Linked DNA regions of Macaca mulatta. The protein of the gene in region 2 interacts with the protein of the main gene of each other region in a pairwise test. Links are inferred from orthologs where the notes say so. Each region holds a gene or a part of one and is shown on either strand. Other genes may lie near its edges.

Evidence for each region. The genes of interacting proteins can lie anywhere in the genome.
Region 1: the proteins of TACC3 (region 2) and KIZ interact in binary tests that used the Homo sapiens proteins (3 or more experiments, as listed by UniProt). The two-hybrid records come from large-scale screens. The link is inferred for Macaca mulatta from reciprocal best matches to the Homo sapiens genes TACC3 and KIZ.

What each region holds. Positions count from the first base shown.
Region 1 is NC_133415.1:62,912,537-62,916,181, forward strand, and holds part of KIZ (centrosomal protein kizuna), read right to left. Parts: intron 3,171-3,645; coding exon 3,008-3,170; intron 443-3,007; coding exon 338-442; intron 1-337. UniProt on the Homo sapiens protein: Centrosomal protein required for establishing a robust mitotic centrosome architecture that can endure the forces that converge on the centrosomes during spindle formation. Required for stabilizing the expanded pericentriolar material around the centriole.
Region 2 is NC_133410.1:1,837,489-1,841,595, reverse strand, and holds the start of TACC3 (transforming acidic coiled-coil-containing protein 3), read right to left. Parts: upstream 2,857-4,107; 5' UTR 2,504-2,856; intron 732-2,503; 5' UTR 731-731; coding exon 569-730; intron 425-568; coding exon 282-424; intron 1-281. Other genes in the region: TMEM129 (E3 ubiquitin-protein ligase TM129), read left to right, coding at 3,181-3,385. UniProt on the Homo sapiens protein: Plays a role in the microtubule-dependent coupling of the nucleus and the centrosome. Involved in the processes that regulate centrosome-mediated interkinetic nuclear migration (INM) of neural progenitors.

The DNA of each region.
Region 1 (3,645 bases), on a different chromosome or scaffold from region 2:
TGCCTGAGCACATTTAACTGTATATCTTGGTTTCTAAATACCCCTCTCCATTAAAAAGAACCACAGCTCCTTGGATAGGAGGCTAATTCCATATCTGAGGGAGAAAAAATGTGAGGTGAACCTGGAATATCTTGTTATGCCCCAGATCAAAGAAGGCTCAGAATTAAGGGGGTTATGTCAAAAGGACACAGGAGCCAATCTAGAGAGACTCCCACTGGCCAAATATAAGACAATAAAATGACAAAAAGAATAATTACTGTAATTGATAACATACTAGTAAATAGAAATTCACAAGTCCATCATAACATTAAAAAAAAAAGGGGGTCTATGGCCATACCACCCTGAACACGCTTGCTCTCATCTGATCTTGAAGGCTAAGCAGGGTTGGGCCTTTTTCATACTTGGATGGGAGACTCCTAGGAATACCAGGTGCTGTTGTAGGCTAAAAAAAAAGGGGGGGGGGTGAAAGAAAGAAAATAGGGAAAACGCTCTTTGTTATAGAGGAAAGCCAGTTAACAGAAGATACAATAAAACAGAAAATCACCATTTTTCAAAACCTCCACTAGAAATAACTGGTTCAGGCAAGGCTCATCTATGGGTCCTAAAACGGTTAGGTAAAAGGATATTGAGGAACACAATATTCCCATGATGCCAACTTATCACTCCACAGATTAGTTACTAACATGCAAAGGGAAAAAACTGTACCTTACAATAGAGACAACTAGAGATCATCATCTTAACCAATGGGTCAAAGTCAGCCTCACCCAGGGGCCACCTGACATCATGGGCCTCCTGATGGGATGCAGTTGGAAGTATAACCTCAGCTGTAACTGTTTAAATTAAAATTAATTAAAATTGGCAAAATTAAAAATACAGTCTTCAGTGTCACAAACCACATTTTAAGTGCTCAATAGCCATATATGAGCAGTAGCTGTATTAGATAGCATCAGTATATATACAGAACATTGCCATCACTGCAGAAAATTCTATTGGACAGTGCTTGTATAGACCACATTTCCAGTCCACAGGAAATACAGGGGATGCTGTGCAAGTTAAATGATGCCTTAGATTCAGAATGTGGATCATTCTACAAGCAGATGAACTGCCTTTTCAAAACAGCCAATTACATGGGGAAAAAAAAGGAGGAATGGTAGGAGACTAAATTCAATTAAAAGAGACAAAAAAGGCACAATAATCAATAACGCAAAAAACAATACGTGAGCCCTAGTTGGCTCCTGGTCTGGAAAAATAAGTTACTTTTTGGGAGAAGTGGGGAAATCCAAATATGAGCTGAATATTAAATAATATTATGTCTGGGTGCAGTGGCTCAAACCTGTAATTCCAGCACTCTGGGAGGCCAAGTCAGGAGAATTGCTTGAGACCGCGAGTTCAAGACCAGCCTGGGCAACATAGACCTCATCTCTACAAAAACTAAAAAATTAGCCAGGCATGGTAGTGCACACCTATAGCCCCAACTTAAGGCTGAGGAAGGAGGCTTGCTTGAGCCTAGAAGGTTGAGGCTACCATAAGCCATGATCACGCCACTGCACTTCAGCCTGGATGACAGGGTGAGGCCCTGTCTCAAAAAACAAAATATTATGAAATCATTTTTAATCTTCTTAGATATGATAATGGTATGATTATGTAGGAGACTGCCCCTGCATTTAGGAGATCCATGCTCAAAGGCTTAGGAAAGAAATGTCATGATGCCTGCAGCAGACTTTCAATGGCTCAGAGAAAAGAAAAAATATATACAAAGCAAATACAACAAGATATTTAAAATTATTGCATCTAAATGGAGAATTATGAGTGTTCATCACAATAATTATGTTAACTCTTCTGTGTATCTGATAATTTTATAATAAAAGGCTGAAGAAAAACTGCAGGGCAAAAGAAAAAAAAAGGTAGGGGGGCTCAGTAGCAGGCTAGCAGGCAGAATACTGAATTCAACTCCTCCTGTGATCAATGTTAAGGTGGGTTAAACTGGACAACACCTGACCAGTGGAAATGGTGAGGATAAAGGCCTAGCTCCTGGCCCTCCACACTTGGCCTAATTTGTGGAGCAGCAGGTAGCCAAGCAGCAGCAGGTAGCCAAGCACCTGCACTTCAAGGGGAAAAAGGTGCCAGAAAAAGAGAGGGCTGCAAGGGCAGTTACTCTGGGTCACACAGTCCAGGAGCATGAAGGTAAACTCCTCGGGGACAGTTCTATCTTTACTGCTGTCCCAATGCACTGTTTGCCAGAGAGGGGCCCAGATCACAGAAAAAGAACCCTTTCAAGACAGAATCAGTTTCTAGAGGGAACCCCAATGCTGCTCAAATTCAGTCATTCAGCCAACAAATACCATGCATTACACCGTGCCAGGTACTGGCTAGTGATCTTGCCTGTGTTACAGATATCCCATTGATTCCTCAACTAAAGAAGAATCTTGGAAAATGCAGTTTCAAGTTCTCTGATAAAATTTAGCCATACGGTAATTCACAGAAAAAGCTGATACTTAATCCTAAGTATGAACAACTAAACATTAGTGACTACCACTGATCTGAAAATTACTACTCATTATTTCTCATTTTAGCAAAAAAAAGATTAAAAACAAAACATAAACCTGGGGTGTGCACCTGTAATCTCAGCTACTCGAGTGGTACGCAGCTACATGGGGTGTGCACCTATAATCTTAGCTACTCGGGTGGTACACAGCTACATGGGGTGTGCACCTGTAATCTCAGCTACTCGGGAGGTACACAGCTGTATGAGGTGTGCATCTGTAATCTCAGCTACTCGGGAGGTACACAGCTACATGGGGTGTACACCTGTAATTTCAGCTACTCAGAAGGTACACAGCTACATGGGGTGTGCATCTGTAATCCCAGCTACTCAGGAGGTTGAGACAGGAGGAATGCTTAAGCCCAGGAGTTCAAGTCTAGCCTGGGTAACACATTGAGGCCCCATCTTGGAAAAAATAAATAAATAAATAAATAAAATAAAACATAGTAAAAAACAGGAAGTCACCTTCAGTTTTTGAAGCTTCTCTGTATTTGTGGTGAAGTGTACAACATGAGCTTGGACACGCTCAAATCGCTTTAAATATTCTTGGTTTCGAGTACGAGCCTTCTTTTCAGATTCACATATTTCCTTCAGATAATTCTTTAGTTTTACATATTTCAGCTTAACTCTAGAAAATTAAAAGCAGTTTTAAAACAATGGACTAGACTTGGACAAATCTGAGAAAGAGAATTTTCTTTATCAAAATTGTTAATGAGACAACGTATTCTAAGATATTTTACCCAAACCACTAAAACCCAAAGGACAAAATGCATATACACATTTTTGGAGAGAGAAAATTAATGCAGTACCACTGAGCTATCATATCGGTTTCCTCTAAGCACAACTCCCCTGAGAAATATATACAAGACCACATTCTAACATTCACACAGTAAAGATTTCTATGGACTTATTTCTCAAAATTAAATGTGATTTCAAGAGTCGTGTCTATATGGACATGTTTGACGAATGGCTCACTAAGATTCTTATACACAACTATTTCAAAAATAACTGCTCATAAGGAATTAAATCAAACTACAAATCACAATCCATAAAATTAAGAAATTTAAAAGAAATTTTAAAATGTTAAAATACCAAAAGCTCTC
Region 2 (4,107 bases):
ACAAAAAAATTAGCCGGGCGTGGTGGCGGGTGCCTGTAGTCCCAGCTACTCGGGGAGCCTGAGGCAGGAGAATGGCATGAACCTGGGGTGGGTAGAGTTTACAGTAAGTGGACATAGTGCCACTGCACTCCAGCCTGGGCAACAGAGCAAGACTCCATCTCAAAAAAAAAAAAAAAAAAAAATTCCAGCCAAGGCCTGACAGAACAGGACAGCACGTTTCTGCAAGAGCCATCGGACAGAGAGGGTGAAGCTCCAGCATGTCCAGTAGCATGAACACTTACTTCTCTTTCTGAGTCCACACCGGGTGACAGTTTTCCAGTCCAAGGGTATCACCCTGAGCCAAAGGAGCCTCAAGTTTGCTGGCCATGCTAGGACTTAGAATCCTGTGCGTCTGTGGATCCCGCAGAGGTGTCTGAAAAGTCACCTGTTGTGGAGTGAGGAGGAGAGCACCCATTCATTAGTTCAAGCTGTTACAGCCACACCAGCAGTGTCCTGCAGCTCAGAGGTCACCAGGAAAGCAGGTCCTAGGGCAACCTGGCTAGCCACACACTGTAGAGGTCACACTTACCTTCATAGCTTTGGCCACGTTCTTGGGTGGCACATTTTCTTTCTGTGACACACGAAGAACAGACGATCTTCCGGTAACTTCTGGTGAGGAAAACAGGAAGTCGCAATTTTCTGTACTTTTTTCACTGCTGACATTTTTGTCGTTTAAGACCTGCAGACTCATTCTGGAAAAGCAGAACATGTTTGTGTCAGTGTGAGGGCAACACAACCATGTTGTCCAGACACAGACATGACAGCTGCCGCAGGGAGCACGACCCCTTCCGGCACAGGTGTGCTCATTGTTCTGGAGCTCACACCTCCCACACATGTCCTCTGCCAAGTGGGGCAGAGAAAGCCTCCGATTGAGTCCCCATCCTGCTTCAGAGACTCACTCTCCAGCCTGGCACCGGGAGCCATGGGCAGCACCGCTGCCTCCTGGGACCAAGAGCTAAAGGGCCTTCAGGCTAAGATGGTGAGAAAGAAAAACCAAGACCGCATAATCTCTACTGTTGTATTACCACGTCAGGCAGAAGTCAGGAGACAGGAAAGCCCTGGCCTATAAGAAACCCAGAAGAGCCAGAGGAAGCCGCGGTCTCCCCACCGGCCTCCGCGTGTGGCGTGAGGCAGGACCGGGCAGCAGAGGGCAGAAAAGCAGGACAGCGGCTCTGGTCTGCTTTCTCCCACCGGGCTAGGCAGCGGGACAAGACCAGGCTGGGGTGAAGGCCCAGAGGAGGAGCTGGGAGACAGTAGGCGAACAAGGGACGCCCAGAGCTGAGCAGCAGGTGCCAAGGAGCTTCCATATCAGGGCCTCCAGTCAGTCCCAGGTTCCAGGGCCGCCCAGGTCCTCACACCAGTCACCCACACACTTGCCACCCTTTCTGTCTACAGCGTTCCCAGTCTAGGGAATGACGTAGGCAGAAAGGCTGCCAGAGAGAACCGAGTGTCGACCTGGGCAGGAACCCCACGGGCACCTGTTGGTGGTGGGGGACCTGGGAAGGCTTTGATTTGAAAAAGAGCAAAGTTGGGGAGGGTCCTGGAGAAGAGAGAGGGGCAGCCCGGGCAGGTCGGTGCTGCAGCTTGAGAAGCCCACTGTGGTGCTGTGTGTGGGTAGGGAAGTAAGGGCAGGAGGGAAGCAGGGAAACCACACGCTTCTGCAGCCCGAGGAGTAGAGGCCAGACCAGACCCGGGCCTGGCCACTGGCATATATGGGACTTACAGACGACGCTTAGGTTTTTGGCCTGAATAACTGGGTACAGGGCAGGGGAAGGGCAGCTGGATCACTGGGGGACACGCAAGCCTGGAACTCAGGGAGAAAGTGACTCGGAGGAAGCCTTCCGGCGGCCTGGAGGAGTGCGGGAGAGCAGCAGACCCAGCCTTGGTCAGGAGGGGCCTTTACCGACTATGGAGCCCCGGGAGGGGCTCTGGGCAGGGAAGGGACCGGCCCCAGGCCGGTGCTTTGATGCTACTCTGGTGCACAAGTGGGATGCGGCGCGGGGGAAGATGGAGCGGCGCAGCAGGTGCGGGGAAGCGGTCGGGGCCCAGGTGTCCGCCACAGGTGGCCCAGATGGAGTTGGCACCAGGACGGAGGCCGGAAGGGACCAAAGAACCACAAGAGGGTCTGCGAGCTGGGAGCCAACAAAGAACCAGGGTGGGCGGCCGAGAGGCAGGAGAGGGTCGAAGAGAACAAAGCACTTCAGGGCGCCCGCTCCGCCGTCGGGCTCGGCCCAGCCCTAGCCGCCCCCGGCCACCGCCCAGGGGATCCAGCCCGGTGGTCGGTCTAGGGCCGGGTCCCATGACAGGGCGCGGGACGGGCCCCGGCGGCCCGGGAAGAAGCCGTGGGGGACGCTTCCCGGGGAAAGCTGCGGCCAGGGCGGGAAGGCGAGGGCCGAGGGCGGGGCGGGACGGCCTCGCGCCCCCGGGACCCCAGCCTCCCCGTGCCGTGTAGACGCTCGTCTACCTGCCTGCCCGCCCGTTGCCGGGCTCTGAGCCCGCGCCGCCGCCGCCAGGAAGGAGGGGTCTGGATATGCGTCTGCTCCGCGCCGGGGGCGAGCCTAGTTGCTGCCGCTGCCGCGCTTCCAGCCCTTGATGGCCGCCGGCGCGCCCGAGTTTCAAACGCCGACGGTTGCCTTCGCGCGGCCAATCAGCACGCGGCCGGGGGCGGGACCGTAGGAGGGTGGGGGTCCAATGGGAAGCTGTGTCTCGCCGGCCCCGCCCCCCCGTGCGCCGACGGTTCCGTTTCCGGAGTGGAGGGCCTGCCGGGGGTGTCTGAAGCTGAGACCGCCGGCTCGCCGTCGCCGCACGAATTTCGGGTTCTGCAGCTGACGCTACTGGGCGGGGCTTCGTGGCCAGGGACTGAGAGCCGCTGGCTCAGGCCTAAGTTTCCCCAGCTGTGCATTGAGACCAGGTGCAGTGCCGCCTCCAGGGCGGGCCCTGAAGAGAGGCCGCACCCTCACGGGGACTGCATCTCCCAGAGCGCCCCGCGGGCGGCCGGGCGGCGGGACTCCATCTCCTAGAGTGCCCCGCGGGCGGCCGGGTGGCGGCTGCCGCAACCGACACGTCGGGGTCTGGGCGCTGCGGCCTCTTCCCCGCGCCGGGGGCGGGGTCCTCGCCGGACAGCTTCCCGGCGGCGGCGCGATGGACAGCCCCGAGGTGACCTTCACTCTCGCCTATCTGGTGTTCGCCGTGTGCTTTGTGTTCACGCCTAACGAGTTCCACGCGGCGGGGCTCACGGTGCAGAACCTGCTGTCGGGCTGGCTGGGCAGCGAGGACGCCGCCTTCGTGCCCTTCCACTTGCGCCGCACGGCCGCCACGCTGTTGTGCCACTCGCTGCTGCCGCTCGGTGAGGCTGCTCCGGCCGGCCAGCCGCGTCCTCTCCTGCGCAGGGCTTGCTGGGAGGTCAGGAGGAGGCCTCCGCCAGCTCGCCGAGGCCCCGAAAGCGCCTGGGCGCAGCTGGGGAGAGGCGCCGGTCCTCATCCAGAGGGACCGCGGCGTGGGCTGAGCGCGCTTAGGGGCGCCGCCGGCGCTGGCTTGCAGGTGACGGGAACCCAAGTACAGAACCTTGGGCAGGGGATGCCCCGGCTCACCATGTCCTGAACCGTCACATGCCTGGGGGTTCCAAGGCCAAGCAGCCTTTGCTTGTCGTGGTTGCGGGCAGTGGCCAGGAGAAGGCAACTGTTGATTGAGTCCAACAGAAGGGGTCGGAGGGACTGTGTGGAGGGTGGCATTGCTCTAGGCCTTGGAAGGTGGGTGTGGGGAGAACGGGCGGATTTGGAGGCAGTTCCAGTTTGGGGGCGCCACAGAGGCAGAGGCTGAGGAGGGCCTCTGTGCAGGTGGGACCCTCAGAGTTGTCCGGGGGGTGTTGGGCTGGGCCCCAGGTGGTAACTGGGGCTCTGGAAGGTCCCCGTCTCAGCCAGTTGGATGACAGACAGGTGGGAGATGGGGGGTGCAGTGGTTGGAAAGGGATTTCAAGGGGGGACCTCTGGAGGACACAGGGGCAGACGCAGCTCTGGGAGGACAAATGGCCAGTGGCTGGCCAGGTCTGCCGCTCTGGGGAAACAAGAG